Cricetulus griseus: one gene and its partners. The protein of the gene in region 4 binds, or shares a complex with, the protein of the main gene of each other region. Links are inferred from orthologs where the notes say so. Each region holds a gene or a part of one and is shown on either strand. Other genes may lie near its edges. The genes, in order: Kat6b, Kdm4a, Ezh2, histone H3.1 and Asf1a.

Region 1 (5,951 bases), on a different chromosome or scaffold from region 4:
TCAGTCATAGCCTGCAGTCATGGGTTTACAGAAATGTCTTGAGAGAGAGCTTTTTGACATGGGAGGAGTTGCTGGAAGGTTTATACTCCCATGCTCCCCAGGGACCCAAGTCACTTGCTTGCTTGAGTGCCCTCACCCTTTTAGACTCAGGGGCAAGAACAAGAACAGCTAGGTAAAATGGGAAGGCGGTTGGGAATTCTGGCTGCTTCCTTCTTAGTTCAGAGTAGAGAGTGTGGGAACACAGAGGCAGAACAAAGAACATGTGCTTCCTGGGTAAGGTAGCCCTGTGCAGTGGGGAAAATAGGTGGAGAGAGGATGAACTGCGCCACCAGCCTTCTGCTTGTGCACAAACCTTTCTCATGGGTCACATTACATCTCTGCCTTCAGTAATGGGGTTCACATGAAACATTTAAGGGCCTGGAATCTTCCATAGTCACTGCAGGAAACTTTTAATTGTGGGATGTCCATGGTTCTTTGGTGTTGCCCCCTCCCCCCCCACACACACACACTCTCACTTGCGCACAAGAGCACAGGAGTATAGACTGGGCCCCCAGCTGACTAAATAAATTCTCAGACTGTGGCAAGCACTTGGAAAGCACGACATTGACGTGCCAGCTATCTGTGTTCTGAGATCCGGGCTTCCTCCACTGTTCTGGCAACAAAGCACTCCCCATGTTGACAGGCCTCCATGTGGGCTGGCTTCTACACAGCAGCCATCTATGTTAGCATTCCTGACACTGCTGTGAAAACCTCAGTCTGTAGCAGAGTGATGCGTCGTCGACAGCGGTTTGACTATAAAACTCCGGGACTTGTTTGCTTTCGGTCAGATACTTTGCACTTAAACATGACAAGACGAGTTAAGTCAGAATTCCTAAGCAAAACCCAATGTCTATTTTATTTCTATTCTGTATGACGACATTCAGGTTAAAGCCATCAAGATGTAGGATGCTGTTGAGATAGAATATCTTGTTCTAGATTTCTACATTGTTTGCATTGGCTTTTGAGAAACGGGAAAAAATGGATCAGAGGTATTGGTTTCTCTTTGTAACAACAGCAAAAAAACAAACAAACAAAAAAATCTTGCAAGTGCAGCCATTTTGGGAATATAGATAAAGAAGAGGAAGCTGAAGATTTGGGTGGCTATAGAGCAGCCTGGTTTGGTAATTGCTGCCACCTACTGTATGTGGTTGATGTTTGTTTAAATCCAGGAAGTTCACAAAGGTGAGGCTGTTGAAATAATTAGAGCAAAGAAGACATCATTACTTGACAGGCAGCATTTCTTCTCTACTCCATAAGTGGCTCTTAATTACCAAGACAGCCGCCAGCTTTCATTCATTTCCTGCAAGTGGGCTTGAAGTTTTCTCATTTCAGAGTTCCTTTGCCAGAGAGCTGTATCAGTCAAGCTCCGTGTGCTTGGGGATTTCTTTATGCACATGGAACGGTGCACTTTAAAGTTTTGGTTTTCTTTTTTCGTGTGTTTTATTTGTAATTTGTAGGAGCAACATTCTGGGGTTGGTTTATAAGTTAATTTTCATGAAAAGGGTAAAAATAGAGCAAGCAAATCAGACAGGAGTTGCCACCATTGACTTGAAAGATGTTTTATTAGTCCTAAAACAGCTTCAAATCAATCGGCTGATTAGACAGAACAAGTAATGCAGACTGTGTCAGCCAAAGCCCTTCTGTTTTATTAAGCCCTACCCGTCAGAGGGTCATCAGGTCTGCCTGTGGAAAACAGCCCTGCCCATTAATGCTGGGGTGGTTCCTCCACAGGACTCCTAAGGGACTGACATTGAGTATCTGGAAGAATTTCAAGCTTGCAGGAGATTTATGTGTTGAGACTCACCTGAAGTCATGTCTTTAGTCTTAACTTTCAGTCTCTGTGACATAAACCACCATGTATGTTTGCTCCAGCCAGCTGTGTGAATTGGTTTATGGTGCCAACACAAAAGATTGACAAGCAGAAATTTGACGAGGTGACATCACAGTAATTAGAAGAGGTGACATGCTTGACAGGATGCACTTCACCTGTGTGATGCTTTCCCCTTGCCACTGATTGCATTATTTCTAGTGGCTCCTGGACTTAGCTCTGGAAACACCCAAAATGAGTGGAATTTTGCTTTTTCTGCCCTAGGCTATTTGCTTTCTAGAAGAGAAGGCCAAGCAGGGTCTCCTGAAAAGCCACTTTCTGATCTGGGCCGACTCTCCTACCTGGCTTACTGGAAAAGTGTCATCTTGGAATATCTCTACCACCATCATGAGAGACACATCAGCATCAAGGCCATTAGCAGAGCCACAGGCATGTGCCCACATGACATTGCTACTACTCTACAGCACCTACACATGATTGACAGGAGAGATGGCAGGTGAGTAACATGGTCCCTGGGGAGGTGAGGCTCCCCCACGAGTTTTACTTTGTAACTTAAGACAGGATCTCAAGATGTAGCCTAGGCAGGCTTCAAACTCATGGTGAGCCTCCTGCCAACCCCCCTCCTGAATACTGGGATTACAGGTATGCATCAGCACACCCACCTAACCCTGAGTTGTTTGTTCTTGTTTAGACAGGGTCTCACTGTGTCTCCGTGGCTGGTCTAAAACTCACTGTGTAGACCAGGCTGGCCTTGAGCTCATAGAGACCCTCCTGCCTCTGTCTCCTCGGTGCTGGGATTAAAGTGTGTGTAGCCTGGCTGTCCTGAAACGCACTCTGTAGACCAAGCTGACCTTGAACTCAGAGATCTACCTGCCTCTGCCTCCCTAGTGCTAGGATTCAAGGCATGCGCCACCACTGCCCCGCTCTATCTCGACTTTTGAATTCACTTTGTCTTGCCTTGATGTGTTACAGGTTTGTTATCATTAGAAGGGAAAAGTTGATATTGGGCCACATGGAAAAGCTGAAAAACTCTTCCCGACCCAATGAACTTGATCCAGAGAGTCTAAGGTGGACCCCAATTTTAATTTCTAATGCTGTGGTTTCTGAAGAAGAGCGGGAAGCTGAAAAGGAGGTAATGATGTGCTCTGTCATCCTGAGTCACACTCTAGTCTTGTAGCTTGTTTAAACTGAGTCATTAGCATCATCATAAAAGCTCAGTTATATAGACAGAGCTTATGAAATGATAAAGCACTAATTTATCCTAACTGAATAAGACATGATAATTCTATTGAGTTGAGTATGAAAAATGAGACATTTATCATTGATCACAAAGCAGCATTTTCACCACTGACAGCATGTAATCAGATCAGCTTTGGTGCTGAGCTGCAGTGCTGCCATGTCAATCGATTCCTTGTGTTTATGAACCTGCTCTGAATGCTCCATGCCAGTGAGCATGTAATGTAGTGATAAAGCACTCGAATCAATTCACTGCATCATTAATACTGCTAAATATCCCATGAAACCCAGTCATCTTAGATTTGTTATCCTAACTGATGCAGAGGGTCCTGAAATGATACGACTCGAATTTGCTTGGCCAGCTGACTATCCCCTTCAGAACTCACTTAGAGACCCTTTTCCATTGATCTTGGAGGCTCCCACTATGCAACTGCCCTCTCACCAATCACCATTTTTTCCCCCACCCCACACCAGGCTGAACGACTAATGGAACAAGCCAGCTGCTGGGAAAAGGAGGAACAAGAGATCCTGTCATCTAGAGTCAACAGTAGGCAATCACCTGCAAAAGTACAATCAAAAAATAAATACTCGCATTCTCCAGAGAGGCGGCCAGTGGCCGGGGATCGAGGACAGCTGTTAGAGCTGTCCAAAGAGAGTAGTGAAGAAGAGGAGGAGGACGACGAGGAAGAGGAGGAGGAGGAAGACGATGAAGAGGAAGATGATGAGGAAGAAGAAAACATTCAGACATCTCCCCCACGGTTGACTAAACCACAGTCAGTTTCCATTAAGAGAAAGGTGTGTGTGTTGAGCTTTTCAGCCGATTAGCTGTTTTCAGTCCCTCTGACTCATCTTTGCAGTGGTCTTTAGTTTTTGTTTTACACTCTGAAGATGTAGTTTATGTGTTGCAGTCCACTGATCCATGTCATGTGTGTTTCCTGGTGTTAGCTCTGTCCTAGCTAACTCCCTAGTCTGGTGGTCACTGCCACCTGCTGGCCTGCAGGATAAGAGTAAATGCAGTCATGATAACCAGGAGGGCACCAGAGAGCACATACCTAACCACCCTTCAAGGACTGGGGAGGTCAGACTTGACAAGGTCACATGACTCACCCGAGGGCCATCCACATCTCAGAACTCCAAGCCAGTGCTCCTGTCGTTAATGTCCCTTATCCTCACATAGAGTTGTTAGGTATTCCATGCCCTTGATTTTGTGGCTAGTGCTTTGCAGGTGGCCAGCTACACATTAGCAGTTTCTCCAAATCACACCAGCTCCAACCCAGCGGTACAGAAAGGGGAGCATTGATTTTGTCTGTAGGCAATTGTTCTCTCCCGTCTGCTATCTTTGTCTGCATTTTCAGTCTATGACATACAGCAGGGCCAGATATTGTTAGGATAGCCATGACGAGTACAAATGGGGTACAAAAGAAGACTTCCCCAGAGCTTTCCTGAAAGGTTTGACTCCCCTAGGTTCTTTCTTCTGACTCCCCATTTGGAGGTAGCACATCCCATGAAATGTACATCCCATGAAGTACACTTTTGGCTACTCTGATTTCTTGTGCAGAGAATATGTTCATACATTGTGAGTATAGTGAGAGGAACTCTATATAAAACCGTGAAAAGCCAGAATCATCCAAGGCATGGCATGGGCCACTGCTGTCCATACGGATTCAACCTGAAGGGAATTAGCTCGCTGCACTTGTATCTGGGAAATCTGGTTGCTTATGGAGGGTAAGCAGATGGAGGGAACTAATAACAACAAATGTTAAATTACTAATGTGGTTAAATTTTAGAATTAGTAATAGACCTAATTTTGTTCTTTAAGAACATTGAAGGAATTAAAAATGTAAGAAACAGGGCCGGAGAGATGGCTCAGCAGTTAAGAGCACTGGCTGCTCTCCCAAAGACCTGAGTTCAATTTCCAGCACCCACATGGCAGCTCACAACTGTCTGTAACTCCAGTTTCAAGGGATCTGACACTTTCACACCAATGTGCATGAAGTAAAAGTTAAATAATTTTTTAAAAAAATGTAAGATACAATAATTCTTTGGTACCATTTATCTGGAGGTAGTACTCCTGCTCCTCACTGTGCTGACAGTGGAACCCAGTGCCTTGTACATGAGAGGTTAAGTGCTCTGCCAGTGAGCTACAGCCCAGACCTAGAGGTTAGCATTCATGTAAATGTACTGACACCTCACAGAGTAGTGTCGTCAATTTCATAGCTCATGATACATATCTTGGCTATCTATTTTGTTTTGTTTTTTTGACAGGGTTTCTCTGTGTAACAGTCCTGGCTGTCCTGGAACAGACCAGGCTGGCCTCAGACTCACAGAGATCTGCCTGTCTCTGCCTCCCAAGTACTGGGATTAAAGGCGTGCACCACCACTGCCTGTCTGTTCTATTATCTTATACAGAGATATTTTAATCATCTTCCATATCAAAATGGTCTATAATAAAGTATTAATTGCTCACATCCCAGCAGCCACCAATCTCTAACTCTGTTGTTTTCTAACTAGTAGAGTAATTGTTTCTTTAAGGCCCTTTCATTTCTGGGACAAGGAGATTAGTCTTATCCCACCATATTTCCCATAGTGCCTGTCAAGCAGTGGGCATCTCCATAGCAGTTAGCAGGTAATAGGTAATTGACCCGATAGTTGGTTATTGCAGCATTTATACAAGCACTGTTTATAGAAACAGTCTGTGATATGTCAGATATTGAAGCTAGCAAGTGCCACTTAGAAAATATATGCTGGAAAAACCGTGCTCAGCTTTTAAAATCTGCAGTCAAGTTGCTAGGGTGCTCTCTCTCTCTCTCTCTCTCTCTCTCTCTCTCTCTCTCTCTCTCTCTCTCTC
Region 2 (5,951 bases), on a different chromosome or scaffold from region 4:
TTTTTTTTTTTTTTTAAAAAGATTTATTTATTTATTATGTACACAGTGCTCTGTCTGCAGGTATGTCTGCAAGCCAGAAGAGGGCACCAGATTTCATTACAGATGGTTGTGAGCCACCATGTGGTTGTTGGGACTGGGAATTGAACTCAAGACCTTTGGAAGAGCAGGCAGTGCTCTTAACCACTGAGCCATCTCTCCAGCCCCTGTCTCAGCCTCTTAAGTGCTGGTATTAAAGGCATGTACCACCACACTTGGCTTATTGATTTTGAAGGAAGGTCTCAACTGTGTAGCCTAGCCTAGCTTTGAACTGAAGATCCCCAACCCTTGGCTCCTGAGTGTTGAGGTGATAGGCATGTGCCACTGAGCTTGGTTTGTTTTTAGTAATTGTTTTGCTCTGTTCCCTGACTGGTATTCGACTGGGCTTTTCTCCTGCCTCTCAAATACTGGGATTATTCTAGACAAACACCACCATGCCCAGCTTAAGAGTCTTAATTAAATATAACTGTATATGTTGGAGGAGTACAGTGTCTTTACCAAATCAGGTGCCTGCCACTGTAGCATTTGTTCACTTGGAGGCTGGAGGACTCACAAGTGTCGTAAGAAACACGGTTTTGGAGCACTCAGATAGGCACCAAGTCTAAATTTCTTAGGGACAGGCTTATTTTGGGCTTGAAGAAATCTGCTTACTCTATGCCAAGGTTTGTCTGATGGCACTGTTTCTATGCTGAGGTACATGATGGCTAGAGAGCACTGTGTTACATGCTGAGGTATGTCTGATGGCTAGGGAGCACTGTGTTACATGCTGAGGTATGTCTGATGGCTAGAGAGCACTGTGGACTTGTGCTTTGTAGAATTTCTTTTGACTTCAGCAGCTGGGCTGCTGCTGTGCACAGGCCTGTGAGGAACAGCAGCAGCCACTTGCTCGTAACCCTGTCATGTGTGAGTTGTGCTACCTTATGCCCAGGACTTGGATTGAAGCCCCTAAGAAGAAATGGTAGGACCCTCACACAGCAAGGAGAGGAAGAAGTTGGGGGCCCTGGTGCTGAGCACTGAGTCTTGATCACACAGTGGCCAGGTTGCCATCCTGCTTCCAACAAGGAAACTGGCTCTGTCTGATATTATGCACCTGTGTTTCAGATTACTCTGACCCCACTGAAGTCAAATTTGAAGAACTGAAGAATGTCAAACTAGAAGAGGAGGATGAGGAGGACGATCCCGAAGCAGCCGCCTTGGACCTTTCTGTGAATCCTGCATCCGTAGGAGGACGCATTGTCTTCTCAGGTTCCAAAAAGAAATCCTCTTCCAGCCTGGGCTCCAGTTCATCCCAGGATTCAGTTTCTTCAGATTCTGAAACCAGCGAATCTGTCTCTTGTCAAGGCCAGGAGAAAACAGGAGCTCTCACTGTGCACAGCTATGCCAGAGGGGATGGCAGGGCCGCCACAGGAGAGCCTAGTGTGAAGAAGAAGCGCAGTGCTCCCCGAAGCATCAGTGAGCAGGAACTGGCAGAGGTACAGGCTCTGCAGTGGTGTGGGAGGCCACTGCCCTGCAAGGCAGCTTGTGACAGAGGCGGCCTGTGAGGGTGAAGGTGCTGCAGGTGTGTGGGAGGGCAGGAGAGAGGCTCCCTCTGTCTCATCTTGCATCTACTACCTGCAGTGGTTGTGTCAGAATGCCAGGTGACAGTCCCCGTCTTCCTCTTTCTCTGTGTGTGACTGTTGATCCAGAGGACCGCATCTCAGCAGTGGCATCAGGGACAGAGCAGTGTAAATCCTAAGCTTGGTTGGATGTGCTGATGTGCTGGAAGCCCTTCCTCTGACTCCTTGCCCAGAGCAGAAAGGTTTGGATGGATGGCAGTGGTTGCAGCCCAGGTGTTTGGGGTTCGAGATAAGGTGGCATCTTAGTCACTGTTTATTGCTGTGAAGAGACACCGTGACCAAGGCAACTCTTACAAAAACTTACAAAAGAAAGCATTTAATTGGGACTTATCTTACAGTTTCAGAGGTTTGGTCCTTTGTCATGCCAGGAAGCATGGCAATAGGTGTGGTGCTATGGACCTTCACCCTGATCTGCAGGCAGAAAGGGAGACAACTAGGCTTGGCATGGGCTTTTGCAACCTGAAAGCCCACCCCCCAGTGACACACTTCCTGCAGGCCACATCCCCTAATCCTTTCAAACAGTTCTACTCCCTGGTGACTAAGCATTCAAATATATGTTCCTGTTGGGGGCTTTTTCATTCAGATCATTCCAGTGGCCTTTCTCACCCTGATATCCAGTGGCATTTTCTTCTTAGGAATTTTCACTGCTCTATGGAATCCTAGCTTGTCATTGATAGATCTTTGTTTTGGAGACCAGGACGGATTCCTAGAGCTCTACATGGAAATGTGTTTGTTGGGTCTCCTCCTAGTACCCACTGTTACCAGAAGCTTTTTTTTTTTTTCTTCCTTTTGTATATTGTGGCTCCTGGCTGGTCTGCCATGCTGAGAGAATTCCTATTGGCTACAGCTGATTCACCTCTGCAGATAACCTCTTTCCCTAGCCTCACAGCTTGCATGGTCCCGATCACAGTAAGGGTAAAAGGTGTCAAGCTGGGCATGATGGTGTACATTTGTAGTCCCAGCACTGGGTGGTGGAGGTAGGAGTTAGGAGTTCATGGTCGTCCTTGGCTACATGATGTGTTTGAGACCAGCTTGGGGCTCATTAGGCTCTGTCTTACAAAAACAACAAAAAGAGGCTAGTGAGATTGGTTAATAGGTAAAGGTGCCTGCCACCAGGCCTAACGACCTGAATTCTGTTTCTGAACCCACATAGGAGAAGGAGAGGGCCAACTGCTAATGTTTCTGACCTCCACACGTGCGCTGTGGTAAATGAACGCCCGCCAGAGTGGCTGCATTCCTTCCCCTGTGCTTGTGTGTTAGAGTAAGAGCTCACCATGTAGCCCTAGCTGGCCTTGAACTCACAGGCCACCTGGCTTTCTGCTCTTGCTTCATATTAAGTAACTTGTTTGGTTGGATATCTTTGAGAAATAGGCATGCTTGTGAGTTTGCTGTCATCCTGGCATGTGGGCCATGTTGGTCTTCCATGTATGTATGGTCCAGGTTTCCCTAGTGCTGCCTTTTGTCTCTATTTAAAATTTCTTGCCCCTTATCCTTTTTAAAATATCATTTATTTCAAATTGTGTGTATGTGTGTGCTCTTTGTGGGTTTGTGCAAGTGAGGGCAGGTGCCTTGAGAAGCCAGAAGTGTTGGGTTGCCCTGGAGCTGGACACAGGTGAGCGAGCATCTGGACATGGTGCTAGGAACTGAATTTAGTCCACTCTAACACAGCAGTTATGCTTTTGGCTGCAGAGTCTTATTTCCAGTGCCTTGTTGTTTTCTTTTTCTTTTGGATAGGATCTTGCTACATACATTTTTTTTTTTTCAAGATTTTAGGGGAGGGTTGCATGTGTATGTATGTATGTGATGTGTGGGTACCTGTATAGTATACTGTGACACTTGGAATCAGAGGACAACATCTGGCTTTCCCTATGGGGTATAGGGATGGAACTCAAGTCATCAGGTTTGTGTGGCCAGTGCTTTTTACCTGATGGATGGGTTGTCTCTGGCCCTGGATCTTGCTATATGATACATCTCAGGCTGACTCTGAACTTCTTTACTCCCTGACTCCTGCTTCTGCTACAGCTACCTCTTACATATCGCCCCTTCTTTTTAAAACTCTCATTAAGGTTCTCACTAAGTTGCACAGGCTGACCTGGAACTCAATGTTGTAGACTTTTTTTTTTAATATTTTATTTATTTATTATGTATACAACATTCTGCTTCCATATATATCTGCACATCAGAAGAGGGCACCAGATCTCATAATGGATGGTTGTGATCCATCATGTGGTTGCTGGGAAATTGAACTCAGGACCTCTGGAAGAGCACTCAGTGCTCTTAACCTCTAAGCCATCTCTCCAGCCCCAATGTTGAGATCCTCTAGCCCTGACCTGGAACTACAGTTTTCACCACCTCCTGTGTTGTGTCTTATCTTCTTTTTTTAAGGAACCATTCTGCTTTTAAAATTTGTTTGGGTTGTGAGCAGAGCTACACAGAGAAACCCCGTCTCACAAAACAAAACCCAAAAAAGTTGTTTTTTCAATTATTCATTTTGTGAGTGACTTTGTGCCGTGGCACACAAGTGGAGCTGAGAAAACAACTTTTGGGAATTGCTTCTCTTCTCTTCTCCCATTGTGTGGATCCTGTGGATCAAACTCACAGGTTGTCAGGCCCGGAGGATAGCACCCCCACCCACTGTGCCATTACACAGCCCCCCTCACTCATCTTGTCTTTCAGTACCCAGATAATTCTCTCCACTTCCTCCAAGTGTCATGGCTCAATTTCTGTAGACTTCCTGCGTGCATCTCATAGTGATTGCAGGCTAATGAATTAATCACCACCATGCTTCCTTCTGGTTGCTTTGACCAGTGCTCTCTGTACCCCGTAACGCAGCACCTACAGGAGAACGCTTTTCAGCTAGGAAACTTTCTTAACCCCTGCAGCTGCCACCTTGTTGTTTTTCCTCACAAGCCCCTGGGTGCCAACCCCCCTGCCGTGGGACAGCAGTTCACCCTGCCTGTCCTTTGTTTGCAGAACTCTGACTTCCTGCTAGTCACTGTCCAAAGAGTAGCTAGCAAATAGCAAAAATGTAATGGATACTAAATATTTTATGAACATCGTTTAGGCTATTACTGTAAATTAATTCTACTGGAGTTTTTGGTGTGTTTTTTATTTTTATTTTTGGAGAGCCTACAGCAAGCCAATAAATACTAGTCATCTCCTTTTCTTCCTGCATTTGATATCAATTAAGTGAATGGATACAAAAAATTGGGTTAGATGTCATTTTGTTGCCAGCTAATATGATTGAACAAAGTGACTTTTTTAACCTGTGGGCAAATGGTGCTGCTATTCTTTATTTTCAAATAGATGGAAGAGCTAGGGACAGGCAGTCCTAGATGTCCACAGGCCCTGGAAGGGACAAAGCATTGCCCAAGCTCCCATATGGTGAGGCTGTAGACTAGCGTGTACTCCTGCAGAAGGCAGATTGCAACTCACTGATGCATACTCTGCATCCATGGCGTGGACTGCAGCCAAGATGCCTCCGCCATCATGATCCACAGGGTAGGGAGGCTTCTCCTTAGATGCCTTCCTTTCAGTCCTGCTGAAAGCCTGCACGCTTTCAGCGTCCCTCTCATTTCTTTGTGGATTCTCACTTGCAATAATTCCTTTCTCTGCCCTGTCAGTGTGTGCTGGCAGCCTTGAGCCATTTAAGTTCTCCAAAAAGGTGTTGTCCTACCCACCTGCTTACCTAACCCTTGTAGTCAGTAGGGCCCATGTTCTATGGGCCAGGACTGCCTTCCAGGACCTCCAGAGCAGATGTGGACAAAGAGGAGCATGAGGTTTCAGCACTGGGTGATGCTAAGTGATGCAGCTCCCATTGGAAGATCTGGCAGCCTAGCTGGGCTGAAGGAATTTAGGATGTTGAGAAGGAGGAAGTTTGGAGGAATATACCAGATAGATGGAACAAGAGTCTGTGAGAGGAGGGTGATCTCTTCTTCATGTCCTGATAGCTCACACCAAGGCCCATACGGGTCTGCTCTGCATGCTGTGCCTGGAAACTGGAACTCTGTGATCTGCTTGGAAGTGCACAAAGATGGAGCATGAGTGCTGTCAGGAGCATGAGAGTGCTGTTGTGCAGATCAGACCTCAAGCTCCTGCCGGACCTGCTTCTCCATCTGCTTTTACTGCTTTAAAACCATATGCCATCACTTCTTTCTTCCTCCTCCTCCTTCCCTCTTCTTCATTCCTTCTTCTACTTTTTTTTTTTTTCTGGAGACAGGGTTTCTCTGTGTAGCTTTGGAGCCTGTCTTGGAACTTGCTCTGTAGACCAGGCTGGCCTCGAACTCACTAGGAGATTGT
Region 3 (5,837 bases), on a different chromosome or scaffold from region 4:
TAAGTAAGCCACATAAAGATGGAAAGTACAAAGTCCGGATACTATATGCTATTGTGTTGTCTTTGAATTATTTAACTGCTGAGGAAATAGCAACAACTGCTAAAAGAAAGGCTGCTGGGATAATTCAACTTATATATTTCAAAATACTTTGACTTCACAATATAAGGACCGGTTACTTGGGAAAAGAATTTCTGCTTTTGTTTCCACAGAAAATGAGAAGCTGCGGATTCCTTTCAGACTAATGTGATTTGATGAAGCAGACCCCCGAAACAATGGCCAGGTGATCCAACATTGAAGACACCTGGGATGATGCAGTCACAGACCACTATAGTTGGGATTTCTGGGTTTTCTTAGGATCCCCATGGTATTTCAGTGCCCCCAACCAGCAGGAAGTGGTGTGGAGAGAACGATGCCCACATTCCCAAATATTGTTTATAAATGTTTTCATTTAAATGGGGTGATTGCAGCTATTGCTGTTGCTGCTATAGCAGCCACTGTGTCTGGGATTGCCATCTCACAGTCTGTAACTACGGCCAGCACGGTGGGTAAACTGGCAGGGGAAGTAACAGAGGCCCTTAGCACTCAGAGCTCCATAAATAACTTAGTTCAGGTAGAAAGTTTAAATCTTAACAAATTATCAATTGGCCAATCAAATTATTAGGATAAATGGTTCCTCCATCCTCTGGGGAGATCCTCCTTAGGGGATTACAGATGGCAGGCCGTTTAGTCAAAGAATGGGCTGGGTCCTTATCTCTGGGCCTTGCAGCCATAAGACTTGTTATCATTCATTTGGCTAAGGTGCCTTGGCACTAGACAAGCCCAGGCTCAATTTGCCACATGATGGCCACAGAGAATCCTTCAGCTCAACTATGGTTGAGCCTACAGAAAAATTAGGCAGCCAATGACGGGTGAGACCAAGGGCATGCCAGCCAACCTAAGACAGAGTCATACAGCCTGGGTGATTTTTGCATTGACGGGTAAGGTTTGCATCAACATCCTGGTCACCTAACACTGACGTTAATTTATACATAAAAAGGGAGAAGAAAAAAAAAAAAAAAAAAAAAAAGGAAGGGGTAGATGTTGGGCCCCAGCCCCCACAGGGTCTCTGAGTTGCTTGTCGGCCAATAACCACAGGTGCATCCTGTTTTCCAGTCCTGGCTTACAGCCCCAGCCTCGCCCCACTAGCATCAACTATACCTGGGAAAATACTCACTCTTACACCTGGGGTTTCTCCACTGTGCTGTAAGTGTATATAAGGCAGCTCTCCCCCTGGAATAAAGTCAGACAGACGCACATAGCACAAGCGGCCAGACGTCTCTTCTAATTAAATCTCCAGGCTTTTGCCTGATACTTGGACTTAGTCGCGGCTCAGACACCACAATTTTACATATGGACAGCAGATTTGGAGGTTGAACAACTTTTCCTGGGTAACAAGCTGACTCACTTTCCCCGATGAATGCCCAGGACCCACACCAGTGTCATTCACTCAAGACTAAAAGGCAATGGTATCACTGTATCTAGGCAAACACAATGCCAATATGTTTATCATAGACAACTGGAAAACCAAAGCTAAGTTGTGTTTTCCCACTGAATATAGTCTTTCTAGAATCAGTTGATGACGCTCTATGACAAGTGACTCAAGAAGTTCAAGTATTCTTTATTCAAAGTTGAAAAATGTACCATACTGCATTATTGCAAAAATTCACTGGTACAAAACACTTTGCAGCTGGTGAGAAGGCAATAAAAAGTTGATTTTTTAAAACTCATTACTATAAATTACTGTTACAGTACTTTGCAAATTCAGAATTTCAAACTGCATTTTCTTTTTCTAAATTGCCCACAGTCCTCAAGGTTCCTGAAGCTAAGGCAGCTGTTTCAGAGGAGGGAAGAGGTAGGAGATGTCAAGGGATTTCCATTTCTCTTTCGATGCCCACATACTTCAGGGCATCAGCCTGGCTGTATCTGAAACAACATGAACAAGAAGTGACTACTGTCCAATATTAGGAAAACCAAGCCTGTTGATGGAGAGGATTATGTCATGACAACTCGCAGACCCCGTCACTCAGCTGCATTCATGAAGAGGAAGCATGCAACTGTCACTCCTCAGTCCCACAGCCCTCCCTGTGCCTTTGTGGCACTCTACTGAGCCAATTCCACATTGTGATGTCTGTGTCTAATACTGAAAAAGCAAAATTAAGATCTGGAAAGTCCCATCACTAAGGAAGCTGGACACCTTTGCCTGTAACCCTGGTCCACTGAGAGCATGCACGAGACACAGCATGAGGACCCTATTCCAATCCCCAGGTGTCACTCACTTAATTCTCTCCAGCTATACAGTACAATGTACTAGAACTAAGCAACACAGGCCCCCATTTCAGCAACTAAAGTTTCTAGGTGGGGTGGATATTCAGTTACAAGAATTCTCTAACTAGATATCTTTACTTGACCACATTTAAGTAACTGTTTTGTCATGTTTGTCCCACAGCCAGGTAGAACACACTGCCAGCCTGCCTGTCTCCTGCCTGTCTCCTGCCTGCGGAGCTCTACACTGTCAGTTGTACTAGCTTCCCCAAAAAGATTCCACAGTGACCACAGGGTAACGACAACAATTAAAGCAATGAAGATAGATACACAAACTGCACCAATGAGAAAGGGTGCCTTAGAATACCGACGTGAAGTGAGACATAAGACCCAGGGGTCACAGTCATCAACAGCCGGGAGTTCAACGCAGCTTCCTGCGTGGGGTTTGTTTTTTCAAATAAGCATTATATAATTAACACATGGCAACCTATATTGAAGGAGCATTTAACTCCCTTCTGGTGTCCACAGCAATCAATGACTGGCCAGTTCAAAGAATGCCCTCTCCAATGACAGCAGATCAGGCAAAGAACTTAACGGCCTTTGACCTCAGCCCACAGTACAGGAAGGGAAAGCCTGCAGATTATACTAAAAGTTTATTTTACCAACCTGTAATCAAAAAACAGCTCTTCACCAGTCTGGATAGCTCTCTTAGCAAAGATGCCTATCCTGTGATCACCGTTAACCATCATAACTGGAAGGAGAAACACGGGGCTGGTGAGCATGAAGACAGGCCATGGCGGGTAACTGACTTCACACAGCAGGTGCCCCAGAGATACTGAAGTCTGCTATCACTTGGCTGGTAAAAAAGGGAATTTTTTGCATCAAATTGGCAGTGCCAACCTAAAAGCCTACCTTTTGCATAGCAGTTTGGATTTACTGAATGATTAGCAAAACGAATTTTGTTGCCCTTTCGGGTTGCGTCCACCACAAAATCTAAAAAAACAAAAGAAAACAATCCAGTGACTAATTGCAACCATGGACTAAAGTTGTTATGGTTTTAGAAACAGGTCTTCAGGATTTGACCTCAAAAGCAAATAAAACATTCAATACAAAATGACATTTGGAAGAAAATACTATTCTACATTAAAATGAATCCCTGGTGGCTAAATATGGCTCTCAAATGCCACGACTTCTCAATTATATGTTGCTGAACAAAACATGCCTAAAAAAAAAAAAAAAAAAAAAAAAGGATTCCTGCCGAATTTCTGTGAATATCAAGAAGTAGGCATATTGAGATTTAAGATTAGAATATTTCTATGGAACATTTTCATAAAGAAGAAAGAAAACATGTTCTATTTGTCCAGCTGAAAGTTTCTCTGAATATCTGTATTACCAACCCTGGCTGAGGTAGCTGCTGCTTTCCTCACAACCTGTGGACAACACCCTGGGCCACAAGGTTTCCACATGCTGCCTGTGCTCCCAGATCAGAGATGGTGACTAACCGGGTGCTGAAGCTACTCAGCCCCCAAATCCCAGGGAACACAAGACAAACTACAGCTGTGGGGGAGACAATGTCCCCTCACAGCCAGAGTGTCTGGGGCTCCTTGTTTCCTGCATATAACCCTTCTACTCCATGGGGACTTCCCCTCTCCTCACACATCCCTGAGCCTAGGCCTGGTGATAAAAAAATCCCAGGAGCTGTTCCTGTAGACACATGCCCCTTCCTGGCATCTTGCTGACTTCCAACCTGAAATGCTCAGCCAGCAATCAGATCCCAAACCACCTCCAAGGAGCTAAGTGCCTCCAGCTCAGCACACACCACTGTTCAAGGAGCTAAGTGCCTCTAGCTCAGAACACACCACTGTTCAAGGAGCTAAGTGCCTCCAGCTCAGAACACACCACTGTTCAAGGAGCCAAGTGCCTCCAGCTCAGAACACATCACTGTTCAAGGAGCCAAGTGCCTCTAGCTCAGAACATATCACTGTTCAAGGAGCTAAGTGCCTGCAGCTCAGAACACACCACTGTTCAAGGAGCTAAGTGCCTCTAGCTCAGAACATATCACTGTTCAAGGAGCTAAGTGCCTCCAGCTCAGAACACACCACTGTTCAAGGAGCTAAGTGCCTCCAGCTTAGCACGTACCGTTGTTCAAGTTGAAAAGGAAGCTGCACATATACTTGTCATACACTTTCCCTCTTCTGTCTGCTTCATCCTGAGAAATGATCTAGAAGGAAGACACAGGAGGAAATTGTTTGGAGTAAGTAGTCACACCTGTTAGGACATTTAAGGGCCAATGAACAGAATTTTGGTCCCTCTTGAGAATATCAAGGTGCCACAGTAGCCAAATTCTCTTCTCTGGTGTACAACAGTGAAGAATTTTTAAATGTTATTATATCTATTAATTTATGGGAAGATGCTTGTACACTCGTGCCCCGGTGTGTCTGAAGTCAAAAGACAACTGGAGGAGTCATTATTCTCCTCCCATCATGTGGGGTCCTAGGGACTAACCTCAGGTCATCAACCTAGCAGCTGCACCTTTACCACCCAACTCTCAGACCAGCACCCAATACGACATTTCTAAGAAAATCCCAAATCTGAGCGATTTCTGCTGATAAAAGAAAATACAAACTGTGACTTCCTGAAGCTGTCTTAAGGCTCCCCCTACCCCCCAGGCTGACAACTAAAAATGCCAAGTTAATAACGCTGTTGTTTCTCAGTCCCCATCAGCTCATCAATGAAGTAGAACCAATTCTACAAAGCAACGCTCTTGTTCCCGAATCCCTTATCTCCAGGTAATAAAAGCCAAACATGACTACAACTAAAGCAATCTAGCTAGTTACTGCACAAACCAAATCTACAAATACAAATAAGTCCGGGTTTATTTAGTATTCATTCTAACCTAGACTTGTCCAATGAACTCTATCTATCCAAAACAATGCAAGTTGCTGTTATACACAAGACCACTGGATTTCATAGAGTGCCTTACCTCTCCACAGTACTCTGAGATGAATTCATTTTTCTGTACAGGATCTTTGATAAAGATTCCCCAGCCTGCCACATCAGACGGTGCCAGCAGTAAGTGCTAGAGAATAAGCACAATCACATAATGAGAACACAGCAAAAGCAGAAGACTAGCGGGCTGCAACATCTTTGAAAACAAGTTGCCACGGTTAAACCTCAGACCCATCGAGGGGAATCACTCAATTCCCAAATGGATTTGACAGGTACGGAAAGTTGCCTAATGTATCTGAAAACCATGAAAGCAATGTTTCTAAACAAAACTCAGAATAAATATCCTCTTATAGGAAAAACAAAACCAAGCCTCTGGTGTCATGGGTACTGCAGAAGAAAGGGAGGTATGTGAGATCTGCTTTGCTTTTACTTCCTTTCAGTTCTCCACTAATTCATTCAACCTAACATAATCCAAAGGGTTCATGTGGACTGATCACCTAGAGGTGACTGAATTGTGAGGGCTCTGAACTCTTAACAGACTTATCCCCTGACAGACGCAGTTTGACGGCATTACTGGGAGGCGGTAC
Region 4 (4,599 bases):
GCTGCCACAGTCGATGAGAGCTTGCTTTCTTACATATAGATTAGCAGGCAGGAGACAGAGCAAGCAGGAATGCCTAGTATGGACTTTGGAAACTTCAAAGCCCAACCCCATCACACTTTCTTTAAAGATCACACCTCCTAATCCTTTCTCAAACAGCTATAACAACTAGGGAGGAAGCATACAAATGTGTGAGCCTATTAGGGCTGTTCTCATTGAAACCATCACAAGGGTCTTTAAGGGAAGGGGGAAGCTGGTCCAAAGTTGGGGCAGGGGTACAAAATAAAACAAAGACTGCATCTGTTGAGATTGATCAGTGAGAGCCAGAAGTTCAGCTAATTGCTGGTGTTGCAAAGTTGGGAACCTGTAGTGCTTATGTCTAGCCTTTGTCATGGGCCAGCAAGGACACAGTGGGGGCATTTTTTTTTTAATTTAAAAATATTTATTTTATTTTTAAAATATTTTTAAAATTTAAAGCTACAATATTTTTAATTTTGAAATATTGTTAATTTAAAACACTTTTAAATTAAAATCTTTAAATAATTTCTAACTTACATTTTTTTTATTTTAATTGTGTGTGTGTGTGTGTGTGTGTGTGTGTGTGTGTGTGTGTGTGTAGGTGTTTGGCTTGCATGTATACTGTGTGTACTACTTGCATGCCTGGTGCCAGCAGAAGATGTCAGATCCCCTGAGATGAATTAAGGTGGAAGCAAGCCATAGTGTGGGTGCTGGGTTCTGAACCGTGGTCCTCTGGAAGACCAGACAGTTCATTTTACTGAACCACCTCCAGCCCTTGTCCCAGAAGTCCTTAAACCGAGACTATTTTTCTAATATCACAGAACTCAGGAAAATTATGCCCTGTTGCCATATAAAGGAAACACCCAGAGATGCTAGAAGGTTCTTTGTGACTTGACAGTTGAAGCAGGGTTGAAAAAAAAAAAATTCTGAGAATGACTCGAGTTTTTCTACAATCCATGCTGCGGGCCTACCGAGATTAGTCTCTACTAATAGCTCTGGTGTCACTGCCACCCGGAGAGCATATAAGGGGCAGGATGTAAAGAGGAACGCCCAATGGACCAATCAGAGTGGAGTACTCAAACACGCCACCAGGTGCGCAACCAATAGGAATGCAGTGGGCTCTATAAAAGCCGAGCCCACAGGGCACCTTGCACACTCGAGGAGAAGCAGAGAAGAAAAGAACTTCGGGACGATGGCACGCACCAAGCAAACAGCACGCAAGTCGACAGGAGGCAAGGCTCCACGGAAGCAGCTGGCCACGAAGGTGGCCCGCAAGAGTGCACCGGCTACTGGCGGTGTGAAGAAGCCGCATCGCTACCACCCAGGAACCGTGGCGCTTCGTGAGATCCGCCGCTACCAGAAGTCCACCGAGCTGCTGATTCGCAAGCTGCCGTTCCAGCGCCTAGTGCGTGAGATCGCCCAGGATTTCAAGACTGACCTGCGCTTCCAGAGTTCGGCCGTGATGGCGCTGCAGGAGGCCTGCGAGTCCTACCTCGTGGGGCTATTCGAAGACACCAACCTGTGTGCCATCCACGCCAAGCGGGTGACCATCATGCCGAAAGACATCCAGCTGGCTCGTCGCATTCGCGGAGAGCGGGCCTAGACGCCATAGGCTCCTCATCTTTGCACTACTTTGAACCCAAAGGCTCTTTTCAGAGCCACCCACCCAGTCTGAGAAAGTGGTTGTAGCCTTGTAGATTTGATCCCCTGTCCACTTCGTGCGGAGTTGACTTTGAAGTCCAGCGAGCTAGTCCGGCTTTACAGCGGACCCATACCCGTTTAAGCTGTTTGATCAGCAGGTCCCTCCTGCGTTAAGTAGGTCTTCGCCTGAACCTTTGTAACAAGGTTGTAGTGCTGACTGCCCTGCCAGGTAGAGTCCAGCTTCCACAGGCCACAAATACACTACCACAACTATGGTGTGCCGATGACAAGTCTGCATTAACTCCAGTTTACTCCCATTGAAAGTCCCGAAAACCTTGCACTTTGGTTTAAAAGGTTGGCTACTCTTGTGTGTAAAAGTTAGCCCTCTCTCCTACAATGGAAAGCACACTGAGCTGAAGGCACCCACATATGCATACACAGGCGTACTAGCAAGTGTGCACCTGCAAACAATAATAAAATTTAAAATTAAAAGATATAAGGCTCCCATGGAACAGCATCCACGGTCTTCTAAACTCACCTGACTCAGATGTTGCAGCGTGGGTGTGGGTTCACATGGTCCATCAAAAGAAAACTCAGAAACACTTTAAGAATGAATTTAGCCATTGCAACTGCAGGGGATCCCAGCTTCAAGGAACTTTATATTCTCTACACCCAGGACATTTTTTCCTCTATGTTTACACTTTAGCCAGTTGATTACCAACTTGAATGAGGCTTCCAAAAAGACAATGCCAAGTGCAAATTCTCAATTCATCAGGTACCACAGTTTTCTGGATTTCCTGAACCAAGCTTTGCCTTCTTGGGAAAGTCCCAAACAAAGTTCACATAAGGGGACAAAAGGTATCCAGTCTGTCAAAGGATGGGTTAGGCTAGGTGCTAGCTTTCTGGAGCTAGGCCAGGTGCCACCCAGTGGGTGGTTATAACCGTCTAGTTGCTATTACTGCAGCACCAGGTCAGCAGGGTATCACTGTACTCACCAACACATTAAACATAAAATACATAAATATGCATGCACCTGTGCTTGGATGTGTCTGCTCTCTCAATTATATGAAGTTACTCTGCCCTGATTTGTGAGCCCCATGGACAGGCTGATAGACAGTCATAGAAGGATCCTGCTGGGTCTGAGGTTGACCTGGTGCTTTAGGAATGCTAAGACACATTTGCAAACTTCTAGAACTTTAGTAGAGTAGCAGAAAGAATCTTGGGACTTCTTATGAGCCCCACTCTCTAGCCAGCCCCAGCACTCCTACTGCTCAGCTGCAGGCTTCCCCAGGTGACCCCCACAGATTATCTGCATAGAATGTTTCCTTCATACCTGGTTAGATGTCACTGTCCAGCTTGGGCTGCCATGAAAAAGTCACTTGAGATGTCGTGCCCAGGACATACTCAACACTCACAGTATTATTCCCCTGCCTTTGGGATCGTTCGGGGGCTGAAGTCAACATTCACATGGTAAAGACCTGACTCCCATCACTTTAGAATATGACTGTGTCTGTATCTTTAAGGACAGGTAGTTGAGGTAATTAAAGTTGCTGGGATGATCTGAGGCCAGGGTGACAGGTATCTTTGTAAGAAGAGATCAGGACACAGATACACAGAGGACACTGTGAGGACTGAGAGAAGACATGACTGCAAGCCAAAGACAGGAGAGACAGCCCTCTGGAGCATTTCAGACAGGAAGAAATTCCGTGTTGTCAGTGGTGGTGCAGCATGTCTCATACTTGTAATCCCAGCACCCAAGAAATTGAGATGGGAATACTGAAAGTTTGAGGCCAGCCTGGAATACCCCGTCTTTAAACAAAACAAAACAAAACAAAACAAAACAAAAGTGTATGATGAAGTCTCCAGACAATCTCCTAGGATGCGCACAGCATCCTAGGTAGCGCTTAATGGTAGCGCTGTGTTGGGGTGTGGGTTCAAGCCGCCTGAAGAAAGAAGACACGAGGCATTCTAAGGATGATTTAACCTTTCCAGCACTAGTCAATGGGAACTGACTCACTGTCGCTTAGTAAAGGGCATTTTTATCGTTATACAAGTCACAAAATAGCAAATTAATTTCCTATACCAAAACCTCTTATCTAAGCTCCTCAAAGAGACAATGCCAATGCAGATTCCAAAAGTCCCAGGACATCTCAGTTTGCCAAGTCCTCCTGGGACCAGGTTTTGCTTAGGCTTTGAACCTTTAGGAAAGAAACTTTCAGATAAGATTTATCCAGCTGGGTAGTGGTGGCACACGCCTTTAATCCCAGCACTTGGGAGGCAAAGGCAGGTGGATCTCTATAAATTCGAGACCAGAGCTAGTTCCAGGACAGCCTCCAAAGCCACAGAGAAACCCTGTCTCACCCCCCCTCCAAAAAAATTTTACTTTCAACAGACACAAAGGGTAGCCATCACAGAAGGCAGATCAAAGCCAGGTGCCAACACTGTTGAATCAAAACAACTGCAGAATTCTGCAGGAAGGAACACTTGCCTAGCCTGAGCAAGGTTCTGGGTTCAATCCCTATCTAGCACATCCCCTCAAAAAAATTAGCAGGAATACTTTTTATTATACTCGTTCCTCCATACATCACAGAGAAGACCTTCTGGAATTCAAAACAAAAGAAGCTATGGACTCTTGCTGTGCCTGTAAGTACAGTGGAAATTATGTGACCCTGGAGCCATTAGTCACAGTGGGTGAGGGGACAGGGACTGTTCCTGCAGAGAAAGACAGATGATCACTAACTCAGGTAGTGAGGCACTGGACTGGCTTCAGATCAGCCAGTTACTGGGGACCATGGCTACCCCGTTCCCAAGGCCCCGTTTTATAATGTATCCTATCCCAACCTGACGTGTGGAAACAGACTCCAATCAGTTCTGTGGCTTGCTTGAGATGCACAGCATCATCCAGAGTCAGGCGGAGAATGAATGCTGAAGTCTGATGCTCTT
Region 5 (6,418 bases), on a different chromosome or scaffold from region 4:
CTGTATATATGCAATAAGTGAAAATCACTGAGACTTTGGTTAGAAAAATCTGAAAAACCCAGCAAATCTGCACATTCTACAGTTTTACAGGGAAACAATGTCTAAAACAGCCCCTAACTTTTGCCACTCCATTACTGTAGAACAGGCCTTTATGCTAATGAAGACCACAATTCAGTACAATTGGCCTGGGATGTAACTTGCCTACCCTGTGGGAGAACCTGGGTTCAATCCGCAGCACTGCAAACAACAAAAACAAGCAGGCAAACAAAAAGGCAACACATATGCGAGTTTTGTTTTTAAAGATGGGAGTAATAATACCAATAACCTTCAAAGGCAACACATGATTGTGCAAAATAAAACAAGAAAAGAGCAACAAAAGCAAGGTTAGGAGTATTCAAGACGGCTCAGGAAGTAAAGGCTCTCCATATGTCAGCGTGGTGACATGAGCTCCACCCCCAGAACCTACATTTAGGTTGGAGAGAGCCTATTACACAAGCTGTCCTCTGACCTACATACATGTTTCCCCAACACCCCAATAATAAACGTGTGTGTGTGGGGGGGTTCAAGACAGGATTACTCTGTGTAGCTTTGGCTGCCTTGGAACTTGTTTTATAGATCTGCCTGCCTCTAACTCCTAAGTGTTGGGATTAAAGGCAGTACCACCATCATCAGGCCCTATAATACACATTTTAAAAGTTACTCTGCCATTTCTGCTTTACATTTTGCAGCAGGCAGGACTCCATTTCATTCTCAGTTCCAAGAAAATTTCATTCAAAACATTTTAATTCTATTGAATTTAACTTGCTTTTTCACGGGCCTCTGTATAACCTCAATTTAACTAAATGTTATAGTTTTCTTTGTAGAGTTTTGGACCCGTGGAAACACTGCTTATCTATTCAAATGTCAAGGTACCTGTTCAACAATAGGTTCTTCCATTGAAGAATGGCTATGCACACGATTCCACATCATCTTCCCTATTGCATTTCACGCTTCATAAAGTACTTGATAACTGATGAATACTGGGACTAAACATGCTTACTCAAGCAACCTTCATTCACTATGAGAAAAAATGTTTCATAGTTTCACTATTTTTTTAGGGCTATCATAACAAAATACTGGAGGCTAGACCTTCCAAGCCTAACATTGGTTTGTTTCTTCAGAGGCTTTGGTTTGTTTTTTTCTCATGGCTTGTGAATGCTATCTTCTCATTGTTTGCTCACAAGGCCTTTATGCATGTGTATTGTGTATATGTGTATTATTTATCCGCATGGTATACCACCTCTACAACCACAGTGTGACTTTTACTCTGATGCACAGAAATAACTGTGATTGAACTGGTAGGCACTCCCTCCCCCTTTTTTCCCAAGACAGGGTTTCTCTGTGTAGCTCTGGAGCACATCTTGGAACTCACTCTGCTCACTCCGTAGACTAGGCTGGCCTTGAACTCACAGATCCCCCTGCCTCTTTCTCTCCAGTGCTGGGATTAAAGGCATGTGCCACCTGACTGCTCAGTCTACTGACAATAAGAGTGGTTCTCTCCCCCACTTTCATTTCCTTAAACTAAGAGAATGGGCCTGTTTCACAATAACATTCAAAGACAAAGATTTCTCATCATTACCAACCCACCTAAGTCTCAACATGTCCAAAGAATGACTAACCAAAATTCTGTAAACTGCAGATTAATACTTAAAAGCAATTTTCAATCTGAATTTTATTTAATAACGTTTCGTAGTTTAATTCCAAAGGGGAGAAAACACAATAGTAAATTGAGTAACACCTCAATTTAGTAAAAGGAAACAGTTTACTTTCACAAAGGTGTTAAAAGCTTCTGTTTCCCCCTCCACAATAGCAGCTCAGTAGCATAAATAAGCAACATTTCCTCAATTGGCCTTGAAATGGTTTCACAGGCATTACAGGCATAGAAGGGCTCCTCAGAATTCGTAATGCTATTTTTAATGTACGAATAGTTGGTATAAATTTCTTGAAGACCAAATGTCATGGTATACTTTGTTTTCTCCTTCTCAAACTCTATTGTAATAAATTTGTTGTCCTTCGGTCTCCTGACACTTCCCTTTTCTTGACTTCTAACTTCTTGCTCTGCTCCCCCAAAGGGCAGAAACATGACTGATCCCATCTTTTCCTCTTATCTCCCCTTTCATTCTATTTCAGGTCTGAAATGGGAAGAAATCCAAGGTGCAGCCAAAGATCGTATATTTAGATTTGTTTTCCGGTCTCTGTCTCTCTCTCTCTCTCTCTCTCTCTCTCTCTCTCTCTCTCTCTCTCTCTCTCTCTCGTTCTCTCGTGTGTGTGTGTGTGTGTGTGTGTGTGTGTGTGTATGTGTGTGTGGTGTGATTTCCCCGCCCTCATTTTCTATTGCCAAAACGTCGATAAGTGGCCAAGAACTTGTCTTCCAAAATGGCTTGCTCCTTTCGAGCTGCCACGGGTCTACGAGATGCAATGTACTTCCATTGCAACCAGCCCTTCTTCCTACTCCCTACCATCACAGGAAGCACACACAGCTGGGCCTGACGAGCGCAGAAAATCGCATCTTATCCGCTACGTTCAGCAGAGCCCGCAAAGCCGCCGCACCGAAGAACAGACGTTAAAGGCGGGGCGGACAGCGGAAAACCCAAAGGCCCACGCTTCGCACATGAGGGGCCAGCTCGCGCCCTCCCGCCACGGCCGCCGGCCCGCCCCCTCTCCGGCCCCGCCCCTCCGTCCCGCCGCGGCCACGCCCGACGTGAGGCGCGGGCCCGGCGGGCGGGGCGGGGCCTGCGCCGCCCCTCCCCCCTCCCGCCGGCGGCGGCCTCCGCGCGGGCCTCCCAGCCCCTATTCCACTCACTTTGTTCTGCGCCTTTGTCCTGGTCCACACCAGCAGGTGGAGCCGCAGTGAAAGTTTCCCGTCCGTTCCGCGAGCGGGAGCCCATCTTGCTCGCCGCCACGGCCCTCGCTGGAGGAGGAGGGTCAGAGCTCGGGGGCAGCCAATCGCGCGCAACGCTGCTAGTTATCAGAGCAGAATGGGCTGTAGTTTAGTGGAATAGGAAAGCTGCAAAACACTGTGGAGTGCTGCCGTGTAAATAAAAAGGGGGAAAAAAAAAGTTTCTCAAGTCGCCGCTGCACGACGTCGGGCCGCGCCGCGCCGGGGCGGGGGTCTGCGCTCTCCGAGCGGCCGCGCGCGGGACTCTGTGGTGCCGCCAGCCCCGGCCCCATTGTTTGTGTTTTCTTCAAAATATGGCAAAGGTTCAGGTGAACAATGTAGTGGTGCTGGATAACCCGTCGCCTTTCTACAACCCGTTCCAGTTCGAGATCACCTTCGAGTGCATCGAGGACCTGTCTGAAGGTGAGCAGCGCCGGGCTGTCAGTTGTGGCGGCGGACGTTAAAGTTTCCCGGCCCGGCCTCGCGCGGGGTGGGCCGCGGGCGGCGGGAGGGCGGCCGGGCGGCGGCCATGCGAGGGAAACTTGAAGTTGAGGGACGCCGGCCGCACCGCAACTTGCGAGCAACTTACCGGCGGAGGAGCCATGTTGTCAGCTTTGTCTGTGGCGGGCGGCGCTGGGCGGCCCCGGCTCGTGAGGCGCCGGCGGGGGTCGTGCGGCCTCGGCGGCCCCAGGGCCCCGCGGCCCGGCGGGGAGCGGAGCCATCTTACCCGGCGGCACGACGCCTGCTCCGGGCCGCCGGGGGCGAGCGGGCCCGCGCCTTCCCGCCGGGGCTGTCCTCGCGCCGCTCTCCGGCTCCCTCCACCAACCAGCGCGGAAGGCGGGCGCTGACTCGGCCCCTCGGCGCCTGGCTCCCGGGGACCGTCGTCCTCCCCGCGGTGCTCCCGGCGGGCGCCCGGGATGCTGCGCGCAGGCTCCCCAGCAGTGTGGACGCCTCTCCAGGAGGACGGAAATCTCTCTGAAACGGTGCGGGGCTAGGAAGTTCCACCCTGCCCAAGAGCCAAAGCTGGGCGCTGCAACAATTCCCGGTACTGGCTTCTAAAAAGTCTCCAAGACTTTCCCCAGAACGTACGAAGATGCAATTAAAATAACTCCACGGCCAGGCGGATAGAGAAAATACGGACGTTGGCTAGGGAATAAAAGCCAAAGTCTTTTCTGAAGTACGTTTTGCGGTTTAAAAAAAATGCAAAATAGTGAAGGAATACAGGATTTAGAAAGCTACAATGAGGGATTATCATCAGTTTTCTTAGGCTTTTAGTAAAACCAGTGCTTCATTTTCAAAATTTGAAACAAAAAGTGTAATAACTTCATCAGTGTTAATTTAAGTTAGTTAGGAGGACATCTTGGGACCTGGAAGTATTTCGTAAAAATGCCTTTAAGAGTATTATCCTCACCATGACGGAAAGAATTTTTCTTTTCATTTAAAAGTTTTAAATCCCCACAGTGTACTTTATGTAGGATGTTAAGTTTAATTATAAAACCAATATATGCCCGTTGCAATAAACTTTAAAAAGTTGGAAAAGGAAGTCACAGCTCTTTCACCCATTCTTTTAGCTAACCACACCATCACTTTAAAATGTACCCCTCTGTTGTTTTTAATACTTATATAAAGTATAAATGCACAAAAATTTAGTATGTAGGAAATATTTTGAAGAATGACTCATGATTAGAATATAGTAGTCTCCTAATAGGCTGTGGTGATGTAAGGTTGAGGGTAAGTTTTGCTTAAAACTCCATTTGTTACTGTCCGATAGTATTAGTAAAAGCATTTCCACACCAGACCCATTTCCAAACACAACATTGGTTTTTCTTCTTAACTGCCAATTTATATATAAAGATAAAGAAAAAAGCATGGGTGAGTCCATTCTATCCCAATAGCAGTGTGTTCTAGGCATTAGAAGTTCTTCATATTACAGGTATTTCTCAAGCGATGGCTTCCATTTTAGGATTCAACTTTGTGCAAGGAAGACATGATCTAGGATATTGTTATAGGGTGGCTCTACAGGATAGTTCGAAACCAGCCATCCACAGAAACCAAGTGAGGTTCCGTTTTAAACTGGGGTCCTTTCACATCAATGGTATCACTCTCATGTCAAGAATACCCTTACCTCTAGTACCCTTCAAAACCAGGGCACCATTATTTTAGGATATTTTAAGCTGAGTCATTCCAAAGCTGCAAAGGAATCTTTCAAAAAGGTGCCATTTCTGTGTACTCCATCTAGAGGCTGTGTGGAGTAAGGAAATGGAGTTGACTTATTTTGCAAAAGCTCTTTTCTAGGTTCCATACTTCTGTTGTACTGTGATTTTTTTTTTTTTTTAATTCTTAAAATCAAACTACAAAATCCTTCGAAGGGAATTTTGAGTCTATAATTTGGGTCTACCCCCAACCTACAGATTAGCCACCATTTGTTATGCTCATCAATCATCTTCAACTATTTTAATTTTCCTTTAAAAGCTGCCCTGTAGCTTTGCTTCAGAAGCCTTGAGTAGTATTTGCTCTAAGGTTGAAACAGTTATTTCTTATACTGGGCTTCTAAGAGTAGAGCACATTAAAAAGTGGGATGTAAAGGCCAGTGAGATAGATGGCACAGCCAGTAAAGCTACTAGCTACTCAGCCTGACTACCTGAGATCGACACCGGAATCCACATGGTAGAGGGACAACTGACTCCAACCAGTTGTCCTCTGACCTCCACATTAGTGCCCATATACATACATAAACACAATAAATGCTTTAAAATTTTTAAGGGATCTAAGTAGGGGCTTTATCATGCCCCCATTGCTATGCCTGTACAAGTCTGATTAGCCTCCCTACAATTTCTAGGGTTTAATATTTGCAGTGTACCAAAACTGAGCCTGTGGCTTTATATTTTAAAAGTTCAGGCCTATTCTGATTGCAAAGACTTTATACTTTCTCCTAGACTACAGATTCCCAACAGTGTAATTAACTTAAAATTTTCTGGATAACACACCTCTCATCACACATGGAAATACTTTCTGTCTGGGATTACCATGATTAAATAGAAAAGTTAACTTTTTAAATAAGTGAGTAAATTCCAGCTAGTAACTTGTAGTGCCACAGGACTTATCCTTAACTTCCTAAACTCAGAAAGGAAAACTGGCTTTATAAACAAACTAATAAATAAGCATTCGATGGCATTAAAACCCAGTGTGTGCCCCTTCTTGAGTTACTGCTTGTACTTACTGAGGCTGGATTATCTAGCTCTCCACTGCCAGTTTTTACCCACCTTCTGTGTTCTTTAATTTCATTAGTTCACAGCTAGAAAGGGGCAGAACTTACCCAGTTACTTGTATTTATTTTAAAGCCAAGGCTTTTGAGTAGCAGCAGCCCAACTTGAATTCTAATTCTGATCTGTAAGCAACGTGAATTTTTAGTAAATTACTTAGCTTCTCCCAGTCTCAGCTTTCTTGTTTATATAACACATGTACAGTATGTGTGTGCTTGAATGATCTATCTGTATAATA

Evidence for each region.
Region 1: the proteins of histone H3.1 (region 4) and Kat6b are in contact, whole or in part, in a crystal structure (PDB 6OIE), measured with the Homo sapiens proteins. The link is inferred for Cricetulus griseus from reciprocal best matches to the Homo sapiens genes H3-4 and KAT6B. Residues at the interface, in NP_003484.1 of Homo sapiens: Ala2, Arg3, Thr4, Lys5, Gln6, Ala8, Arg9, Ser11, Thr12, Gly13, Gly14, Lys15, Ala16, Pro17; in NP_001357065.1 of Homo sapiens: Ser217, Phe218, Leu220, Arg227, Ser242, Ser243, Gly244, Cys248, Leu249, Lys250, Phe251, Leu255, Trp264, Cys266, Ile267, Glu268, Lys270, Gln278, Ala282, Asp283, Asn284, Met285, Leu286, Phe287, Cys288, Asp289, Asp292, Met307, Pro308, Lys309.
Region 2: the proteins of histone H3.1 (region 4) and Kdm4a are in contact, whole or in part, in a crystal structure (PDB 2YBP), measured with the Homo sapiens proteins. The link is inferred for Cricetulus griseus from reciprocal best matches to the Homo sapiens genes H3-4 and KDM4A. Residues at the interface, in NP_003484.1 of Homo sapiens: Ala32, Thr33, Gly34, Gly35, Val36, Lys37, Lys38, Pro39, His40, Arg41, Tyr42; in NP_055478.2 of Homo sapiens: Ile71, Tyr85, Asn86, Ile87, Gln88, Ala134, Asp135, Val160, Ile166, Thr167, Ile168, Glu169, Gly170, Val171, Tyr175, Tyr177, Glu190, Asp191, His240, Lys241, Met242, Ser288, Thr289, Asn290, Arg309, Asp311, Met312, Val313, Lys314, Ile315.
Region 3: the proteins of histone H3.1 (region 4) and Ezh2 are in contact, whole or in part, in a cryo-EM structure (PDB 8VMI), measured with the Homo sapiens proteins. The link is inferred for Cricetulus griseus from reciprocal best matches to the Homo sapiens genes H3-4 and EZH2. Residues at the interface, in NP_003484.1 of Homo sapiens: Ala26, Arg27, Lys28, Ser29, Ala30, Pro31, Ala32, Thr33, Gly34, Gly35, Val36, Lys37, Lys38, Pro39, Arg41; in NP_001190176.1 of Homo sapiens: Arg497, Trp499, Ala500, Cys503, Arg504, Ser514, Phe542, Arg561, Gln570, Leu575, Ala576, Val577, Tyr641, Gln648, Ala651, Asp652, Asp659, Ser664, Phe665, Leu666, Phe667, Asn668, Val674, Arg685, Ala697, Lys698, Val699, Phe724, Asp725, Tyr726.
Region 5: the proteins of histone H3.1 (region 4) and Asf1a are in contact, whole or in part, in a crystal structure (PDB 8Z50), measured with the Homo sapiens proteins. The link is inferred for Cricetulus griseus from reciprocal best matches to the Homo sapiens genes H3-4 and ASF1A. Residues at the interface, in NP_003484.1 of Homo sapiens: Asp107, Leu110, Cys111, His114, Lys123, Gln126, Leu127, Ala128, Arg130, Ile131, Arg132, Gly133; in NP_054753.1 of Homo sapiens: Val45, Ala48, Glu49, Glu51, Asp54, Val92, Thr93, Val94, Leu96, Arg108, Gly110, Tyr111, Tyr112, Asn114, Glu116, Leu140, Asn143, Arg145, Thr147, Phe149.

What each region holds. Positions count from the first base shown.
Region 1 is NW_023276807.1:199,318,518-199,324,468, reverse strand, and holds part of Kat6b (histone acetyltransferase KAT6B), read left to right. Parts: intron 1-2,131; coding exon 2,132-2,363; intron 2,364-2,839; coding exon 2,840-2,999; intron 3,000-3,577; coding exon 3,578-3,898; intron 3,899-5,951. UniProt on the Homo sapiens protein: Histone acetyltransferase which may be involved in both positive and negative regulation of transcription. Required for RUNX2-dependent transcriptional activation. May be involved in cerebral cortex development.
Region 2 is NC_048595.1:34,146,877-34,152,827, forward strand, and holds part of Kdm4a (lysine-specific demethylase 4A), read left to right. Parts: intron 1-1,137; coding exon 1,138-1,508; intron 1,509-5,951. UniProt on the Homo sapiens protein: Histone demethylase that specifically demethylates 'Lys-9' and 'Lys-36' residues of histone H3, thereby playing a central role in histone code. Does not demethylate histone H3 'Lys-4', H3 'Lys-27' nor H4 'Lys-20'.
Region 3 is NW_023276806.1:222,412,882-222,418,718, reverse strand, and holds the end of Ezh2 (histone-lysine N-methyltransferase EZH2), read right to left. Parts: intron 5,381-5,837; coding exon 5,285-5,380; intron 4,523-5,284; coding exon 4,441-4,522; intron 3,295-4,440; coding exon 3,214-3,294; intron 3,053-3,213; coding exon 2,968-3,052; intron 1,963-2,967; coding exon 1,902-1,962; 3' UTR 1,638-1,901; downstream 1-1,637. UniProt on the Homo sapiens protein: Polycomb group (PcG) protein. Catalytic subunit of the PRC2/EED-EZH2 complex, which methylates 'Lys-9' (H3K9me) and 'Lys-27' (H3K27me) of histone H3, leading to transcriptional repression of the affected target gene.
Region 4 is NC_048600.1:73,029,046-73,033,644, forward strand, and holds histone H3.1, read left to right. Parts: upstream 1-1,207; coding exon 1,208-1,618; 3' UTR 1,619-1,648; downstream 1,649-4,599. UniProt on the Homo sapiens protein: Core component of nucleosome. Nucleosomes wrap and compact DNA into chromatin, limiting DNA accessibility to the cellular machineries which require DNA as a template.
Region 5 is NC_048595.1:255,439,239-255,445,656, reverse strand, and holds the start of Asf1a (histone chaperone ASF1A), read left to right. Parts: upstream 1-2,827; 5' UTR 2,828-3,231; coding exon 3,232-3,340; intron 3,341-6,418. UniProt on the Homo sapiens protein: Histone chaperone that facilitates histone deposition and histone exchange and removal during nucleosome assembly and disassembly.